Linked DNA regions of Arabidopsis thaliana. The protein of the gene in region 1 interacts with the protein of each later gene in a pairwise test. Each region holds a gene or a part of one and is shown on either strand. Other genes may lie near its edges.

The links.
Region 2: the proteins of AT4G23050 (region 1) and PYL5 interact in a two-hybrid assay, tested with the Arabidopsis thaliana proteins (one large-scale study listed by BioGRID).
Region 3: the proteins of AT4G23050 (region 1) and BCAT-2 interact in a two-hybrid assay, tested with the Arabidopsis thaliana proteins (one large-scale study listed by BioGRID).
Region 4: the proteins of AT4G23050 (region 1) and AT4G22720 interact in a two-hybrid assay, tested with the Arabidopsis thaliana proteins (one large-scale study listed by BioGRID).

Annotation. Positions count from the first base shown.
Region 1 is NC_003075.7:12,078,035-12,084,767, reverse strand, and holds AT4G23050 (PAS domain-containing protein tyrosine kinase family protein), read right to left. Parts: upstream 4,709-6,733; 5' UTR 4,657-4,708; coding exon 4,310-4,656; intron 4,119-4,309; coding exon 3,686-4,118; intron 3,577-3,685; coding exon 3,451-3,576; intron 3,348-3,450; coding exon 2,825-3,347; intron 2,698-2,824; coding exon 2,657-2,697; intron 2,568-2,656; coding exon 2,499-2,567; intron 2,407-2,498; coding exon 2,306-2,406; intron 2,181-2,305; coding exon 2,102-2,180; intron 2,011-2,101; coding exon 1,912-2,010; intron 1,826-1,911; coding exon 1,757-1,825; intron 1,661-1,756; coding exon 1,611-1,660; intron 1,505-1,610; coding exon 1,423-1,504; intron 1,347-1,422; coding exon 1,252-1,346; intron 1,157-1,251; coding exon 1,060-1,156; 3' UTR 512-1,059; downstream 1-511. Other genes in the region: AT4G23040 (Ubiquitin-like superfamily protein), read left to right, coding at 6,146-6,229.
Region 2 is NC_003076.8:1,607,381-1,611,067, reverse strand, and holds PYL5 (Polyketide cyclase/dehydrase and lipid transport superfamily protein), read right to left. Parts: upstream 2,081-3,687; 5' UTR 1,695-2,080; coding exon 1,083-1,694; 3' UTR 541-1,082; downstream 1-540. UniProt on the Arabidopsis thaliana protein: Receptor for abscisic acid (ABA) required for ABA-mediated responses such as stomatal closure and germination inhibition.
Region 3 is NC_003070.9:3,286,327-3,290,996, reverse strand, and holds BCAT-2 (branched-chain amino acid transaminase 2), read right to left. Parts: upstream 2,911-4,670; 5' UTR 2,743-2,910; coding exon 2,677-2,742; exon of another isoform or gene 2,567-2,676; coding exon 2,493-2,566; intron 2,396-2,492; coding exon 2,218-2,395; intron 2,137-2,217; coding exon 1,960-2,136; intron 1,878-1,959; coding exon 1,746-1,877; intron 1,669-1,745; coding exon 1,570-1,668; intron 1,495-1,569; coding exon 1,378-1,494; intron 1,316-1,377; coding exon 1,220-1,315; intron 1,142-1,219; coding exon 1,029-1,141; intron 948-1,028; coding exon 833-947; 3' UTR 526-832; downstream 1-525. Other genes in the region: AT1G10090 (Early-responsive to dehydration stress protein (ERD4)), read left to right, coding at 1-21, 111-425; BCAT-1 (branched-chain amino acid transaminase 1), read right to left, coding at 4,160-4,274, 4,351-4,463, 4,598-4,670. UniProt on the Arabidopsis thaliana protein: Converts 2-oxo acids to branched-chain amino acids. Shows activity with L-Leu, L-Ile and L-Val as amino donors and 2-oxoglutarate as an amino acceptor, but no activity for D-isomers of Leu, Ile, Val, Asp, Glu or Ala.
Region 4 is NC_003075.7:11,935,002-11,939,523, reverse strand, and holds AT4G22720 (Actin-like ATPase superfamily protein), read right to left. Parts: upstream 2,583-4,522; 5' UTR 2,381-2,582; intron 2,084-2,380; 5' UTR 2,058-2,083; coding exon 1,500-2,057; intron 1,415-1,499; coding exon 1,259-1,414; intron 1,155-1,258; coding exon 807-1,154; 3' UTR 555-806; downstream 1-554. Other genes in the region: CYP706A2 (cytochrome P450, family 706, subfamily A, polypeptide 2), read right to left, coding at 2,906-4,486.

The DNA.
Region 1 (6,733 bases):
CTGTATTACGGTGACGGAGTATCCCTTTACAAGATTCCGCTTGGGTAATCGACACGGTCAATCAATCAATCACACATAAATAACACAAGAGCAAACACATGGTAAAGAAATTGGCATCAAAAAAGAAAATAATATGGTAAAGATGTTTCAATTGAAATATAGTTACATATAAATTGAAATACTACGAAATACATGCAAGGCAAAACAGCGAAAACTGTTAAAAAGTTTATTTGTCTAGAGGTCACAACCATGTGTTGTAAACGAAATATTACTATGCAGCTCGATGTGATTTGTTCTGACCTAACCAGACAAACAGACAAATATTTTCAATCCCCCAAAATTTCTCCTTTTTCAATACTTCTATAAGAGAAGTTCCCTTCACCCACGTCACATGCATGCACAATACATACTCGGTATAATAGACCCATCTTTGTATCCTTTTTTTTTTAATTATGCTTTTGTGACTGCGTCAATTTCAAGATGCTGTAATGTGGAATTACGAATAAGGATTGAAAAAAAAGTTTTATTTAGGGTTCTGACTCTCTCTTATAATTAGGTGCTGAGAAGCTACAGACGACGCAGTGATGGGAAGCTGTAATAAGAGAATATTAAAGCAAAAGAAGCAATGCCTACGAATTGTCACTCCTCCTTCTCTTACCCCATCAAACCAAAACCAACTACATTACAATTCACTACAAGACACCATCAATCTCACAGTTTTTCTCGTATTTCTCTTTTTCACCCTTTTACTTCTTAAATTACATCTGAGTCCTCCTCTGGCCTCTGCGCCTCTGCCTTTTTAGATCCCATTTTACAACTTAGCTCATAAACCGACAACAGTTTATATAATGCATAGTTTAACTAAACTAACCTAAGATTCTACTGTATATTACTTTGATTTAGCTATTTTTGCTTTCTTTCTTTCAATGAAAACATAAATAGTAGTTTGGTATAACACAATGAAACATTTGTATAGTAAGTGATCAGGACGATGCTTTCGTTTTCTTTTCACGTCCTTTGCTTTGTGAACTATCCTTTAACCATGTACTGTTTACCTTCTCAATCGTCTTCTTCTTGCGCACCTGACCCTGGTTTGCGGAACAGGCTCATCATCTGACTAATTAATTCCTCGAACGACGGTCGTTTTGCTGGATCACTGTTTCAACAATTTAGAACAAAGAATATAAGAAAAATCGCCCCTAAGTTTGTAGGGTGTATTTGATGAAACAATTTACAGATGCGTCTTCTTACGTTTGCCAACAATCCTGTATTATGGATGCGATCCGGGGATTTAATCCTTCAGGTAAGTCTAATCGTCGATCCATGAAACCAACAACTCCAACAACCTAATTTAAAGTTGCTAAGATTACTACAATCTTATGATCAAGCTATAATCTCATAAGAACAGAATTTGAGAGGTACCTGAATAGAGTTCAAACGGTCCCATGGTACTAACGTAGTCATTAGCTCCCATAAGATGACTCCAAAGCTGAACACATCACACCTATTACAACGAAAGCATTGAGCTTTTAGTCCAAAAAAATGTTCAAGTTATTGAATAATGTCTTCGAAAAGAGAACAAAAAAGGGTTAATATTATATCCAACGTACTTCTCATTCGAAGGTTCACTTCTGAGAACTTCAGGAGCCATCCACTGCGGCTGCACATAGAAAAAAGTTGAACAATGTTTAGTAACAGAAATCCAAGACTGTTTTGTGGATTAAAAGAATCAGAAATGGCTTTTGTTAAACATTACAGTTCCTTTCCCGGATTTAGTACTCAAGAAGGTTGCGTTCTTCCACTTTGATAACCCAAAGTCTCCAACCTAGGGAAGAAAGAGTTGAAAGTCCATGCAATAGTAAACTCATTTTACAAGTCTTCATAAATGTAACTTGAGAAAACTGTTTGTACCTTGACATTCCAGTTCTTGTCCACGAGTAGATTGGAAGATTTCAAGTCTCTATGTACAATTGGCGGATTTCTGCGGTGTAAGTAATTCATTCCCCTAGCCTGCAACAACAACAGAGAACCCGAATATAATCAGCCTTTCATATTTTTTTCTTTCATTGTGAGGGAGGTTTTTGGAAGATCAGAGTCTTACAACATCAAGGGCCATTCTTAAACGGCGTTTCTTGTCCAATGGCTGATTCGTATTATGAAGTATTTTGAAGAGACTCCCTCTAATCATCAAAACCGTATAGAAATAACTTAGCACAGAGTATTCATCTGCAATTTCTTGCAGCATAATATAACACACTCGATAAGGAGTAACACTACTTCCAGATCCATACGTCAATAATCTCACCTTGGCATATATTCCATGATTATGGCAGATTTTTCTTCTGTACATACTGCTCCCATAAATAGTAGCACATTCGGATGTCTCAGTTTCTTCATAATGTTGATCTGAAGATATTATTGATCAAAACTGATTTATTTTGTCTGGTACGAGTAACTTCTAGAAACAATTCATAACAGAGAGAACTAATTATACATACCTCCTTTTTGCACTCCGTCAAAGTCATCGCATTGTAATCACCATCGAAGTAAACCTTAATAGCAACATCCTGGTCCAAATAGATTGGACTAGTTAGTTATCCATGTGCAACTAATACTAGAATCATCCTTATTTTATCTTAAATTACAGAAAACTCACCGATCCATTCCAAACTCCACGATGAACCGCAGCAAATGAACCTGTGAGAAAATGTAACGCATCAGAAATACTTGTAATCTGATTTAAACAGCAATGACACAGATCTGAATTGAATTTGCATATCTAAAACGTGAAAACGAGTGTAAGACTTTGGTAAATGAAATACACCTCTTCCGACCTCCTCCCCAAGTTGTAGATCTTCCCATCGTATCTCACATGACGAATCAGTAACTAATCTATTATTCCTTTGGTTGACAGGACTTTGTTGCCTACCGCTGTTGACTCCTAGAATTGGCAAGGGATCAACACTAAGACGAGTATTCCAAGCATCTTCTATCTCACCATTTAGGTCCGACATTTTTGTTCCCCGCATGCCAGACACCAAACCACTCTCTAGTCCTCTGGGAGGTTTACTTTGTCCCAGGTTCCCAATATACTGAAAGCGATCTCCATTATGTATCAAACCCTCAGCTCCATTTCCATAGACATCTGAAATTCTAACTTCAGCCCTTTTTGGTTTTCCATTGCCATTGTCTCTGAAAGCCGTGCAGGTAACTGCATTAGAAGCCTTAGAACTACCTCCACTGCCACATGCTGACTTATTGATACCGTTTCTTAAGATAGGCTCATTATCTTCGGTTCCTTGGCTGCCAGTAATCTTCCTTTGCAGCTTCCCCAAAAACTTATCCGCCTACACTAGTGTATATGCAGATTTAGCTTATAACATGAGACAATAATCGTTCTAAGAAATGTCAATGAGAAGTGTCTTGTTTAAGGAGCCAACGAAGACTTACCAGTGAGCCATACTTCTCGAAAGTTGTGGAGGCAACAACCGGAACATTTTCATCTCGGCTCCTCGAATTATGATTTCCATTGAAGGAATCATCTCCATTTCTCTGTGGTAGAAGCTTCGACGCCTTCTTGGTTTGTGCAGAAAACAGCAAAACAAACAATCATTCATGTTGCACACGAATTATTATATAAAAAAAAGTACTGAGAAACTTCGAACATTCATGATGTGAGATCTACCAGGTTTGAAGCAACAGCTGATGAATATTGTGGGACAACTGGAACCTGTGATGCTGCAGCGATCTGAGGCCTCGGGAGGTGCCACTGATGTTTTCTCAAGTTTGATTCATGTCTATTATTACTACGAGCTTGTTGTTGATGCTCATTACTTAGTGGATGCATCCTATTGAAAAGGGTTGCATCGCTCGAGACAGTAACAACACCAACCAGCTCACCGTTTTCATACACAGGGCTTTTAGTCACCAAAGCCATAAATAGTTCACCAGTTTTCTTCTGAAACGGAAACTGACCAGTCCAAGTCTCTCCACGGCACACCCTATTCCTGATACCAGTAAGGGAATTACGGTATTCTTCGGTTACAAGCACATCAATAGTTCTGTAGCCAACAACTTCCTCAGCATACCAATGGTACAGATTCTCAGCAGAACGACTCCTGAATAATAATAAAAGAATCTCTCCACTCAGAAACAAATAGTAAATGTCCACTTGCATATACAATGAATCGCTATATATAACTTTGTTTAACTACTTAAACACACAATTCAATGAAACAGTACTTAGAAGAACTATAAGCTCCTGATCTACAAACACCATAGATGAAGAAGAAGAACTTATCAAGCTCACCAGAATGTAATTTCTCCAGACGCAGCTGATGTTACATGAATCGCGTGTCCCATTGAATCCATCAAAGTCCGATACGCACTATCAGCGAAATAGAATCCTGAAACAGCTCTCTCCCAAGTCGCCGTCGGATTATCCCAGGAATCCGCCGCCTCCGCTTCCACCTCTACCTCAGCCTCTTTCTCCGTGTCCGTCTCCAATCCCGTCGCCGATTCCTTACCGGTTCGACTCTCCTCCTGAAGCAATAAGTCATCAACATCCTCCCTTAGTCTCGCTTGACTCGTCTCCATCCTCTGACACCACTCCACCAAAACCTGGTAGAGACTCGATTCCGAGTTGTTTCCGGCCATCGTAATCGCCGGTGACTCTGTTTGAGCAGTCGCATCAAGATCCGACTCTGATGAAAATTCACAAATTAAAAATATAATTTAAAACGTTGGCATTCCCTCATTGTTTATTATTTTTCAGCTGCTTCTTAAATCACTCGTGACGCCATAATTAACAAACCCCAGCTATTATAAACACTACGACGCATTAGCTTACGCCACGTGTGTTTGTTACTAATAGGATGCTGCCACTTGTAGAATTGCCGATGTAATTGAAGGTTGAAGAAGATTGAGAGATAATAGACGAATTTGTCACGATTTAAAAGTGGTGATTGACGAAATTAACCTCAATATAATACCCATTCTTGTTGCCGCCATTGCCAAATGGGCCTGAGTTTGATGGTGTTTTTATACCTCCAACGGTATTTGTCAAGAAGAAAATAAAATACACGTCTCTTCAATGTTCACATTCACATTCCTCTAAAAGTAATGTGCCCAATAAACTCAAAGTTCAAGTTGATTGAAGAACAATAACAATAAATTATAGTTGAATTTAAATGTAATCAATTATTAGTAGTATACTTCAAATCATTGTAGAATAATACTCTCCATAAGGTTTCTTAGAGGAAGCAAAGTTTAATTGGAGTCACAAAGCTAGTTTTGTTTCAATTTATCTAAAGATTTACTTTGTTTCTGGGACACAAACTGAAAGCCAACCCTTTTTTTTGGACAAAAACGACAATTCTTATATTACAAACGGCCGAAAGAGAACATGACAGCTCCTTTAAAGGCACTATATAGAGGGAAGATTGGGATGATCATAAAGTGAGGATATCTTTGGATATTTTAGTTTTGGGTTTGGTTTTGGTTTTTCGTTGTTGGACCGAAAAGCCTTTACATTTTAAGGCTTATTTCCATATTTACTGTCAAATTGACAAATAAAATATGTAATTGGTGTGAAAAAAAATAAATTATGTAACTTTTTTTTTGTACATTAAAAATTATCTAACTTTTAATGTATATACACTATAACAATTAATATCATGTTAAAAAAAAAGGTCAAAAAGTTCTTGGCTAGTAAAAACTAAAAAGATAAGTTTAATCCACTCTGAATTTGACTCGAATTCCAGTTTATAAAATATAAAGACTCTGAAAAAAAAAATCCAATTTCAACTGAATAATTATTTATTTAGTTATTCAGATTAGGACACTCCATATATTATCTCAAGTTCTCTGAAAATAATATCTTGAATATCACCGAAAATATACAAAAAGAATAAAGAAAATAAAGTTTAAGAAAATCCACACCAAATAAAAAAGGAGAATTAAAAAAAATGGAAAAGAAGAAAGACCCTAAAAAAGGCTTTAAAAATCTTAAGAGTCACCGATCCAATTCCTTTCTTCACTGCAATTTTTGTGATTTACAACATATATTAATTCTTGCCTCCTCCTTCACTCCAGCTCCAAACACAAATCTCCGACGAAAAACTTCTCTCAAGCTTTCTCTTTTCTAATGGCGACACCTACTCAGGAAGCTATTGACACCTTCATGACCATCACCGGCTCTTCCAATGCCGTCGCCGTTCGTAAGCTCGAGGTGATTCAATTACACTTCCCTGGGTTTTTTCCGTCTTCCTTCTATTGTTTAGATGTTATTTTGTTTTTGATTGAAGTATTTTTGGAAGTTTCTCGAATCGCTCAAGTGGTTGTTCGTTGGATCATCGAATTATATCTCCTCTACGCTTTTGTTATATCGTTGTTAAGCTCATCTTGATGCGTTTAGGTCGCAATTGGAGTTAATTGTGTTGAATTTTAGTTTATCCGATTATCTGATTGAGTTTTTATGTGGACTTCTTACAGAATTCTCATGCTTATTGGTTTTGTTAATTGTTCATTGATATCTAAACGAGTTTATACCTGCTCATTGTGAAATTAGTTGTGAAAAGTTTTGTTCTTTTTTGGATTTTGGTCTGGATTTTTGGTATTTTAGAGATATTCATGTGGGGTTTAAGTTAGTTATTGAAGTCAATGAATTTTTTTTCAGAACTCATCTTGTGTACAATTTTAGTTTGGGTTTAGAGAACTTTTTATTGTGTCCTTT
Region 2 (3,687 bases), on another chromosome or scaffold:
AACCCACCAGAACAAAAAAAAAAAAAAAAAAAACAGTAGACCAAAAACTTATATTTGAATTAAATATAACCCACTAGGTTGGTTGGTTATAATTTATTAACAAAACAAACGGGAATAAAAAATGATAATCTCCACTTGACCAGACTAGTAGCCAATGAAAGACTAGTTGGTAATAGTTTAAGCACGTCTACTTTTGCTTTAGGTCTAATATATATGTTTTATGTAAATGCACATGCTAATCAGGTTTAAATTCCATAACCTGGTTTATAATTTCCCTCTTAGTTAACACGCAGTTCCATCTACATATAGTACCTTCTAATAAATTGTTACGTCCCGAGAATATTATGTGTAATAGACAGATAATTCGAATATATATACTCAATACTTAAAGGTAATTTGATGTTCCCTTAATATGATCCATGATGACGATAAATCTTAAAGTTAAACGAATTGGAGTTTTTTTATTTCTGAACTTTTATCTCTCTGGTAATATTATAGACAGTGGAACAGTTATTGGCTTCATTCTAATTGATTCTTAGATCAGAATATCGGCTTTGTATTATATTTTCTATTTAGAACATTTGGACACAAGGATCAACCAACAAAAAACAAACTTATAGTAATGTTACATACTATGAAGAAATAAATTAATAAGTCTATCATTAACAATACCGATGCATCAAATATTCATTTACAAACCACAAAAGAAAAAAACGGTTAAGAGTAACATTTAAAAGAGTACAAGAAATTAAACAATGTCACAAAGAATGATACCATGTACAAAACAACAAATGGATTAATTCATTTAACAGATTCACCTTAAAATGTTTTATGTACCAGTACTAACACCCTCCAAATCCAAAGTTTTGTGAATCCCCCAACAGTACTTCGAAATTTCCAACATAAATCTCCCAAAGAAATCCCCATTAAATTACAATTCTTTCTAAGCCGATATATCTATTTAAAAAGAAAGAAAAGGTACTCGAAATTTTCTTCCTTGTAAAGAAGATCGAACATCTAAAAGAAATAGAACAACAAAAAAAATTAGATACATAATTGCAATTTATATAAGAAAGATGAGATTATTGCCGGTTGGTACTTCGAGCCAGAGACTGAAGGTTGCACCGGACGATAGTATCAACGAAGCTTAGAGTTTCCTCCTCCGTGTTTCCCGGCGGCACATCAACGATGTAAGACTCCACCACCACGGTACCTTCGTCGTCCGACGCGTGTAGTGTCGTCACCGATCGGTAGTTCTTGAGCCTGTGGTCCCCACCAACGACACTAAAGCTTATCACGTGACGCTCCTCGTCCAAGATCTCGAGCCTCTCGGTGCTCGAGACCGCCGGGAGTCCAGAGACCACCATGACCTCCCGGAGATCGCCGACGTGTAGTCCATCGCCTTGGACGATACGGCACTGTCTGATGAAGTTCTTGTAAACCTTCGGATTATCGAAACGCCGCACAAGAGCCCACACGGACTCAGGCGGCGCGTGGATCATCTGCACCACCGAGGAGCAACACTGGTCCGGACCAACGTCGTGTGTGTGGTGCATCGCAACGTGTTCAGGGACATGCATACCGCGCGTGAGACACACTCTCTTGATCGGACCATCGGTCTGATCGTGAGGCTGCAGCGTGTGGAAACCGTTAGTGGCGTCTGAGCCGTGTTGGAGTTGCACCGGTGACCTCATGATCTCTCCTCTATCTCTTAATTTGTTTTTGGGAGAATTTATGGAATCGTATATATTGCGATCGAGAGAGAAATAAGTTTGATGAGAAAAGAAGAGAGCTAGCTTTTTGATCTTGTTCGCTGTCGGTTGTCAAGTTGGTTTTGTTTGAGAAATTTAAAAAGTATGATCATCTTTTATTTTATAACAATAACAATAAGATATGAACATTGTGTGTTTTTAAAAATATATATTTGAAGATAGATGGATAGAGATAGCTGGGGATGTGAAGGCTTTGTGTTTGTATGTATATAGAAACAGTTGTGTATATAGACGCATTTGTATCATATAGATGTGTGTGACCATGTATGATACATTGTACCATCTTATGCCCCCATGATTTCTTTCCTCAGACGCCTCCTTCATTATCTTGAATATATATCACCAAAATTAATTGTATTCTATAGATCCCTCATTTCCATCTTGATAAATTTTATATTATAGAATCTACAAGGTTTATCTACATATGAATACTGTTAATAAATTGTTCATAGAAAAAACTGAAATTTCAGAATTAGTTTTATCTTTTTTTTTTAAATAAATCATTAGTTATAGTAAAATATGTTGCTGTTATTGTTAAAATTTACTTATTATATGCACATTCTGATCTTAATCTACTAAAGTGATAGTTATGAGAAATAACATGTACAATTTTTGAATATCACACGACTGTAACGCGCATGATTGATTGATTGTGGTAAATTTTAAGATAGACATGGTCATCATGGCGAAGTAAAAACTACATACATGCATGAGCACACGTGCATGCACAGATGTTGATGGGTTTGTCATATATGTGTAAATGGCGTATGTAAATGTGGTGTATGTATGGAGAGAGAAAGTCGGAGGACGGTGAGAGACCTTATCAAAGAGCTTACGCCGGACGAAGCAAGTGGATGTTGCAACTTGCAATCTTCTTTGGACTTGTTTAGGTGGAAGATTATCCTTTCCTTTTTTTCTCTATTTTCTTTTGTTCTTGTTGCCCATTTTTATATTATATTCTCATCATATAGTACAAAGGTTGTTGCATCGCGACTTTGTAATTTTTTCAATAAATAATAATATTTTGCGACATGGGTATGGTACTCTACATCAAGTTTCATGTACACTCGAATTGTATAGGCATGCAAACGTGCAATTTTACTATTTTTTTCTAAACCAACTATGATAATTGTCGTAATTAATTATAGAGGAATGCATTCAGTAATCCCACTACATTTTTTGAAAAGACTGATCTACAAGAAAATAATATTTATACGGTATAAATTATACCCTGTCAATGAGATAAAACGTAAAAAAAAAATGTAATCGTAATTTGTAAGACTAGTTAATAAATCTTGTGGGTTTTTAGAAATATTCGACCATCACACCAAAAAAAACAAGAGACCACATGTGGGTTTTTAGATTTTGTTTAACTTTCTAATTAAAAATTCAAGGCCCAATCGTTTGTTTTTTTAAAAATATTATACGAAATCATGCCCTGTAAGAATAACGAGAGAGCTTCACGGAACTCATAAGACCATCTCCAATGGTGAGAGCCTCCTAATGGGATCTCACCATTTTTTAAGTATAAATCTTTTGAATTTGTAAGATGAGAGCTTCTGATTTTTTTGAAAGATTTTTCATAGTCCAATGGTAAGTCTCTTTTAAAAGAGTTGTCTGGAAAAAAAATTATTCACAATAGAAAAAATGAGAATCATAGAAGAAATGTCTAACATGAGAGGCTGAGACCATATATTCACAATTCCTTACCATGTGAAAGCAAGTAAATAAAGAGGAATGAGATAGGAGAGAATAGAAATGCAGTAGACTTCTTGACAAATTAAAACATAAAGGTCAAGGTCAATAGAAATGTAAAACGATATGTGGAATGTTCCGTTGTATGGTTCCGGTCAGACATGATATTACTCTGTTGGAAACTTGCTGCAGGAAATAACAACATATCAGGTTCACCACT
Region 3 (4,670 bases), on another chromosome or scaffold:
TTCCAGAAATATCCAGCCGAGGTATATATACATATATATATATATTACTCATCTTTTCATAACCTCGATTTGCATCTCCTGAGAGATATTGATGTATGAGTTTCTTTCAGATTCTTATCGCTATGGACAGAGCAGATGAGATGACAGGAAAGATGGAAGAGATACATAACAACTTGAAAGTTGCATACTCTCAGATACCAACGTGTTCTGAAGAATCCAGCAAAGCTGGTTGCACTTCTCCTTGCTCAGATCAGGAGTTACCAGATTCTGAAGAGTTGAAGCCTGAGAAAGAGAATCTTAAAGCTGATTACATATGGGAGTTCCAGAGAAGTAAATCTGGTCTTGATCTTGAGGTGAAATCCTGTCCCAGTGCTTCCCCAATTCGTAATTCCCCAGGGTTTGCCGAGATCTACAAACGAACATAGATACTTGAGTTACAATGTATACTTTATAACTCTGCAGATGAAAAGGTGTTTTTGCAGTTGAGTTACAATTTTAGTAGTTGAAACCCTTATGGGTGATGAAAGTAAGAAGTGGGGAAAGCCATTGAAACGTATATACAGTTTTGCCTCCTAAAATGAAATGTAAATTTGGAGTTACTGCAGGAGGAAATGAAACTATCCTTGGAAACACTTGTCTACAAGTACAATAGACGATTCTTTTCTTTGTCATAGTTTTGTGAAAGACATTGACTTTACGATATAGAAATGAGCAAAAGAGCTTTCTGTTTCTATCTCATATATATGTTTATAGTGTTCTTCATTGTCGTGTATACACAGCTTAAAATGCAGAGTAATCTCCTTTGTGGCAAAATATTGAAGATTGTTATTCTTCAGTTGATATCTGTGACCCATCCCTTGTTATCTTCAATCAATCCTGTCTGGATACCTACGAGGACTGAACGCAGTTTCTGGCAGACAGATTCATCCCCGGTTTTATACTCTACTCTGAATGTTTCAGAAAGATTACATCAGTCCATTTCTTTGCTTAAGGCTTGAGTAAAACTTGATTCAGGCATTGAGATTTACCTTTTTTCCTGATATGTGATAGTGCCCACGGGAGCAACTACTACAGCAGTTCCGGTGCAAAAAACTTCATCTGCATCCATTACTTCATCCACATGAACTGCCTTCTCTACTACCTGATCATAACTCAGGTGTGAAACTTAGCTGAGTTTAGTTTTTGGGTGTTTAGAGTGATTCAATCTTATCTGTGTTACCTGATAACCTTGATCACTTGCGATCTCCATCACACTTTTCCGCGTAATCCCTTCAAGAATTGTTCCATTAGTTGCAGGAGTTGAGATTGTCCGACCCTGAATCAATGATACAATTAGGATGCAACAAAGAGACATGGAGACACCACAATATATCTTACCTTGACAACAAAGACGTTGCAAGAAGAAGCCTCCTCTAAGTACTTCTTCTTGACAGAGTCGAGATAAAGAACGTCTGAAAACCCCCGACTCTTGGCTCTGCTCAGTGCTTTCAAAACCTACAAACACGTGGTTTATCAAAACTCTTTTTCTGACTCTGGTCTTTGAGAAACTAAGTTGGTTTCAACACTTACTGGCGCATAATTTGTGATGCTCTTGACGCCTCCAGCTCCACCAGGAGCCGCTCGGACATATTCTTCCTCAACATAGAGGTTAAGAGCAGCCATCCCTTCCTACAAATCAGTGAACAAAACATTTGCTAATCGTTCCATCGCCAAAAAGCATGGACATGCAAGAGTATTGTATATACCTTGAAGTAGTTACCAACTGGAGATGCATAGACAATGAATGTATATTCAGGTGCAGGACCTAAACCAAGTATTGGACCACTTCCCATCAACAAAGGCCTAATGTACAAAGTCCCTTTCCCTGCAGGAGGAACCTGAACAAACACATCATCACTTATCAGATCCCAAAAACAAACCTCTTCAGAAGAAATATACGTCACAAGAAAGCGTTTTTACCCAACGTTTGTTTGCAAGAGCGGTTTGTTTAACTGCATTAACAAACTGATCAACCGAAGGAGAAGGCATGAGCATCCGTTCAGCGCCAAGCTTCATCCGGATAGCGTTGTGATCCGGACGAAACAAAAGAAGCTTCCCATTTTCTTTCCTGTATGCTTTTGTACCTTCGTATATCGCCTGCAAAGAATCCCAAAACCTCTATTGATCATACAGTTGAGAAACAAATCAAGAAACATTTGGGGGTTACGAGATCCTTGCCTGTCCATAGTTTAAGACTCCAGCAGAAGGACTTAGCTGAATATTCCCATAGGGACTAAGTTCTCCTTGAGTGAATTCGCCGTCTTTTGAGCATTTCATGACATACATGTAATCAGCTGGATTTAGACCAAACCCGAGATTATCCCAATCCAAATCCGCATATACATCATCTCCATTTCTATATGATACAATTACAACAAATTTGAAACAGAGCTTTTTCCAATGGTAACAAAATATCTATATGACCTGGCTGGATCATGAAAAAGAGAACTTACTGATAAAGAGGTTTCTTACGCTCTTCTCGCAAAGCCGATGCAGCTTGTGCGTTGTACTTGGCGAAAGTTTGTAGCTATTTCATCAGGACAAAAAAAACAGAACATAAAACATGTTTGTATCTGAGATCCGAGTTATGTCTCTAAGTAAGTAATCATCATTAGATTGTAAGAATCCAGTTTATACCGTACGAATATGTAAATGAAGAGGTAGAACCAGAGTTTTGCGTAGAGATGTGATTGTTTTGATCATCTTCTTTTGCAGAGCCTCTGTTTTAATTCTCTTGATTTCAATAATAATAAAAAAAACAACAAAATAAAGAAATGAAGAGAGAATTTTGTTGAATGATATACCGAAAAAGAAGGTGGAAGAGAAAACACAAAGAAGAGTGTCAAATTAAGTATCCAACACGTAAGTGAATGCGGAGCTTATGTACAGTGTCTGCTTTTATCTTGGCAAATCGTTGAATTTGTTTTATTTTTTTTCTTATTTTTATCTTTTAGTGGTAAGAGTTCTTATCTTATTTTTGTGTTTCTTTTGCTTCGTCACTTGTGTCTATCTGCCCTGATCAGACAGATCTAGACGTGTCTTTCTGAAACTAGATTTTAACGAAATCAACGGACTATTGTTCTTTTCTCGTTCTCTTATGGGGTAAATAAATGAAGAAAATTAGTGGTGTATCTTCAAAATGGAGATTTCTATTTTTGAACTGTAAACTATTGTAAGTTGGTATAAATATCAATTTAGCAATGTTTCTTCGGCACGCAATTACCTAAAGTATACAAACAAATACTTGACGAAAAAACAAAATACAGACAAGTACTAATTTCAGTAATTTTCCATGAGATGTGAAATAGTAAACTAGTGATGTGAAAGCCACGTTGGACCAAGAGGTCTTTGTCGGATAAACAATTTTCTTTCCATGTCAATCTTTTAGACCATATTGTTGTCTTTTCAACGTCTTTGTCCGTAACTACCCAAATGGGAGATAAACACGTTGTGGAGATTGACAGCCACGTCAGTCTGAGAACTTTTCTTATCTGATAACAACGTTTTTGCTAAGATGGCTTACTAATGAATATTGATGTCCCTTTCCAGTATCGTCGTATCACTAGTGTCATCGACTATTAGTACACACTTGACGCGAGCACACTCCTTCGTTTTCTTATAAATATCTTTAAAAAAAAAAATTCAAATTATAAATATACCAAACCTAGTGGAACAATCAACGAACCTCATTTCTTTGAAAAATCTTAAATCGCATTTGTCGTGTCTTATCAAAGAATCTTAGACAGTCTTGTGTGTGGAATCTACAATATTTACAAAAAAAAAAAAGTTTCGACAAAATTGTTTTTTTTCTAAAAGCGAATATACCGCCGTAGAGTCTGGCAAATAGAATCTGAGGAGGCTGATCATACAGCAATGGTATTTTGAACCAATGGTGGCAAAATGCCACAAAGACAAACCATTAGATTACATATCCTGACCTTGAAGTTGAAGGTCTTTAGTTTTGCTTTTGTCTCTTTGGAAGAGTGAAACAAATGTTTAATACTAATACGATGTGGTGATATATCACAAATTTATGTCACAAATTTACCAAAAACTATTTCAAAAGCTTTTGATGGGTGATCAAGAGAGTGCAACATTATTTATAGGATATGAAAGTAACTTAGGCAATCTGCAAAACCCAATCTTTAGTGTCTTGGATAGAACCAGTTTGTATTCCGACAAGAATAGATCGAAGTTGCTGTGTAACAATCCCATCTCCAACTTTGTACTCAGTCCTGCAGATTATTTATCAACAGATAAATGTAAAATTCTAAGCATATGTATACATGTATCCAGAGAGGAAGAAGAGACCTTGTGTTCTTAAAAGTGATGCTTCCAACAGAAGCAACTCCAGCGGCAGTTCCAGTGCAGAAAACTTCTTCAGCTTCCTTCAGTTCTTCTACCGGAACACTTCGTTCTTCCACCTGAGTCCATTACACACTTATCAAAACTTCCATGCATCAAAAGTATTCCTATTTTGAAACAGAGTATTGCTCTGTTTTTTGACTCAAGATTGGAAACGGTGTTAGAAGAAAAAAGACGTGGAATAACTACTAACTTTGTAACCAAGATCAAGGGCGATTTCGATTATGCTCTTACGTGTGATCCCTCCGAGAATCGTTCCGCTCGTA
Region 4 (4,522 bases), 140 kb from region 1:
TATGATGTCTTTTAAAACTTTTGAAAATTTTATATTTAGTATGCATGCTTACTTACATAGTTACATGTATGAATGTTTTATCTAGAACTCTAGTCTCTAGAAGGATATCCACATTATGCTACAAAAGTAATATAAATATCGACCAAAATTTGTGTAGCCTATGTGTCAAGGTTCTGATTTACACTTGAAAATACGCAAATGAGTTCTAGATGATGGAAAAATGATACACTATATCTCGAATGTTTTTACAAAATTATTAGATAGAATTTATCTCTACGTCAAATTGAAATTTTTGACAACTTGTTGTTGCCTTTACAATTTTTATTAGCAAGATCAAGATTAGATCATTATGTATAAATTCTATTTACTCACTTTTCGTTTAATACGCAATGCCATAGAAGTGTCTTGTGATTAATTGAACCATCTCATACGTTCTACATTAAAAAGTTCTTACTTTTTACTTTTTAGTAGTGCTGTATTTTCACAGTTGTTTTTGTATGATTAAGGAAGACTAATGCACTAATCTCTCCACCATTCTCGGTAGAAATGTCGACTTTGAGATATCATATTTTTATTAAAGCAATAAAACAAATAGCGAAATGCAACACAAGAAACATTTGAACTTTTTACAAAGCTCACTTTGAAATTTGAAAGTGTTATTACATTCAAACCAAAAGATATCAATCATATAATTTGGCTAATAAAACACATTTAAAAGTCTTAACTACTTAGCAAAAACCAATTTATCGAGTAGAGAGAGATTCAATCTCAAATTTGATGAAAAATGAACAAAAATGGGGACAGACTCAATTCGCTGCAACTTTCTTATCCCCAAGTAGTACAGCTTCTTTCTCTCGCCACACCGCATGAACCTCGTCTGTGCGAAATCGTTGTGTAAAGGTAGAGTCTTCGATCGGTGTTTCAATACCATTAACAAACGCGAGTAGACCTGTGTAAGCGATCATAGCTCCATTATCGATGCAGTAACGGTCATCTGTTGCAAACAGCTTACCATCACGTTCTGAGCACATAGTCCTCATCATTTCCTGCAAACGCTCGTTACACCCAACACCGCCAACTATCAAAACGTCTTTCTTGTCACAATGCGCCATCGCTCTTTCTGTGATCTCAACCAACATCGCAAACACCGTCTCCTGCAAGATCAACAAACATGAATTCATGATATTACTCTTAAACAGTCCAAAATTTGCATTCATGTGACAAAATTCATCAGTTAAGAACCAAGTGATAGCCTTACTTGAAGGGAATAACACAAGTCTGCTGGTGTACACTCGTTATTCTTGAGCTTCTCCTCTGCAGTAGTTTCGATATAACTCAAGATTCCGCTGAACGATACATCCATACCTTTAACAGCATACGGAAGATCAATAAAGTTTTCTCCTTTCTTAGCAAGCTAGTAACAACACCAAAAACCGTGTTAACATTGTTCTTGAATCTTTCAAGAATTCAAATTTACTTTACTTTCAAATGAAATCTACCTGTTCAATGTTATAACCAGGGCTTGGATCATTAGAAAGCTTCAAGACTCTAGCAAACCGATCCAAACAATTACCAACAGCAATATCAATAGTCTCACCAAAAATCCGGTACCTACCTTCACTATAAGCAATCACCTGAGTGTTACCACCACTCACATACAACACAACAGGATCATCAGCTCCAGTAACTACTCTCCCCATCTCAATGTGAGCCACACAATGATTCACAGCAACAATTGGCTTTTTCCAAAGCTGTGACAATACTCTAACAACAATGGCTGAAACCTGCAACGGCGCTCCCATCCCGGGACCTTTCGTATAACAAATACAGTCGATTTCTTCAGGAGTAACTTGAGAAGTCTCTAAAGCTGATTTGACTAAAGGAAGAACATGGTCAAGATGGTGATGTGCAGTCTCTCTAGGAAGAAAACCATGACCAGGTGGTGTTATATACGTATGCCGAGGATTTGCTAAGATAGTACCGTCTAAAGTCACAATTCCAACTCCAATCTTGTTAGCTGATCCTTCGAAACCAATGGCTATCATCTTCTTCTTCATTTCTTTGATTTAAAAACAGAAACTTTCTACACAGAGAACAACAAATTCAGGACTAGGTGAAGTAAAAATCCAAACTTTATTCTGAATCAATTTGAACTAACACAAATTATAGCCTTAGACGTTGAAGATGATGAACAAAATTAATCCTTTCGTTGATTGGTATTGGTATTGAGAGAGACCCAACAAAGAGATTCGTATAACCTAGGTTTCGTTTCCTTAGATGAAAGAGCCCTAAACCCTAATCTAAACACAGAAACCAATTCCATTCGAGACACAACACACTGAACCCATGTACTGTTGTTTGATTTAAATCAAAAACTAACCTGAAGCTGCGTGATGGCCGGAATCAGAAGTAGCTCACAAGCTCAAAGCAAAACGAAATTAGCCAGAGAGTTTAAAGAAGAAAAAGACGGCGATAAAGTCGCCGGGAGAGAAACGACGATGTTGAGTTTCTAGACTGTGTAAACGGCGTCGTTTATAAATGGGCCTAGCCCAATAACGCATATTTTGCCGCTAAGAAGGACTCATTTAGTGTGACGTGAAGTATTTGTGATATAATTATACATTAATTAATTTAAATAATTACAATTTTAATTTGTAACCTTCATACTAATTTGTAATTTGTTGACCCAAGAATTTTAATCGACTTGCCAAAAATATAACTACAATATAGTTTTATAGCTTTGGCATCGACTATTAGGCGTTATTATTGTAAGTAAAACTTTGTTATATTAAATGTTATCAAAAATGTAACTTGACACATCTTTTATACAAAGCATCAAAACTCCAGACACAGATAAAGAAAAGTAAACTTTAAACAAGAAAACTCAATTCAACATCCTTCTTACTTAAGCTGTGTAGAGTTTTGGATCGGACAACCTTGGAACAGGAATAGCCACAAGTGGAGACTTCAACTTAAGAACAAGACCAAACTTCTCTTCAACCTCAAACTTCTGTCCTTGAGGAGCTTTCCAATCAAAAGAGTGAAGAAGTGAAGCAATGTTGAACAGAACAAGTCTCTCAGCCATGTTTATCGCCGCACAAATCCTCCTTCCTGACCCAAAAGGCAAATACTTAAAATCACCTCCATTGAAATCAAGCGAATTCTCCAAAAACCTCTCAGGTTTGAACTCGTTTGGTTCATCCCAATTCTTAGGATCTCTATGAATCGCCCAAACGTTGATGAAAATCTTGGAGTCTTTAGGCACAGTGTATCCCGCAACCACCGAGGTTTCGCTGTTTCTGTGAGGAACAAGAAGAGGAAGCGTAGGGTGAAGCCTAAGAGTCTCTTTCATAACCGCTTGTAGGTAAGGAAGCTTAGGTAAATGTGATTCCTCAACGATGTTGTCTTTGCCAACAACTTGGTCAAGTTCTAGTCGGATCTTGTTTAACACTTCCGGTCTGCTCACAATCTCTGCCATGGCGAATTCGGATGCGTTAACCGATGTGTCGACACCACCAAGAACCATATCCATGAGGAGAGACTTGACATGAGTCATGGACAGAGGAGCTTTCTCATCATCATCTTTAACTCTAAGTAAGTATTGCAAGAAATCTTCTTCTTCTTCGCTCTTCTTTCCCACCATTTTGACGTGACTCTCCATAACTCTATCGAACAAGAGATCAAGCTTCTTCACATGGCCTTTCATCTGCTTAACCAATCCTTGGAAATCGAATCTTGAGAACAACGGAAAGAAATCTGAGTAGTTTTGAATCCCTTCTATGTCGGAGATATCAGATATTAGGGTTTTGAGCTCGTTTCCTAAGCTCGTTCTCTCGTCTCCTTCAACAGTGGCGCCCCACATCATTCTTGTCACGACGTTGAAAATGGAAAGAAATATTTGCTCTCCGAGGTTGACTGGTGATCCTTCACGAGCCATTTCCGACATGTGGACAATGGTTTGTCGGGTTTCTTCCCGGCGAGTGGAGTAGGAAGCTTCGAGACTTGGGGTAGTGAACATCTTCATGACGCAGAGCTTACGAAGTCTCCTCCAATGGGTACCGTAAGGAGACCAGAGGATGTCTTCACCACCGTAAGTGTTGATCTTTCCGACTTCAGGGAGATCGTGGTTGGCGAAAGTGATGTCGTGGGTTTTGAGAACCTCGCGAGCCATGTCAGGGGAAGAGACGACGATCGCAAGTTTGGAACCGAGGTGGATCTTCATGAGAGGGCCATATTTTAGGGTTAGGGCTTGGAATTGCGTGTGGAGGACGTCAGAGTTTAGGAACGGGAGGTTTCCGACGATAGGAAGTGGCCAAGGTCCCGGAGGCAGTGGAGGTTCCTTTTTGGACTTGGACTTCCCCTGAATCCATAAGTAGCATACAACGGCCAAGAGAGCAGCGACGGCCAGCATCACGGAGCTGTACGGCTCCTCAGTGTTGAGGACCTGCGAGAGGTTGATGTTAGACTTAGACGACGCTGTTCCCATTTTTGTCTTCTGAGAAAGATCTCACTGTGGTTCTTG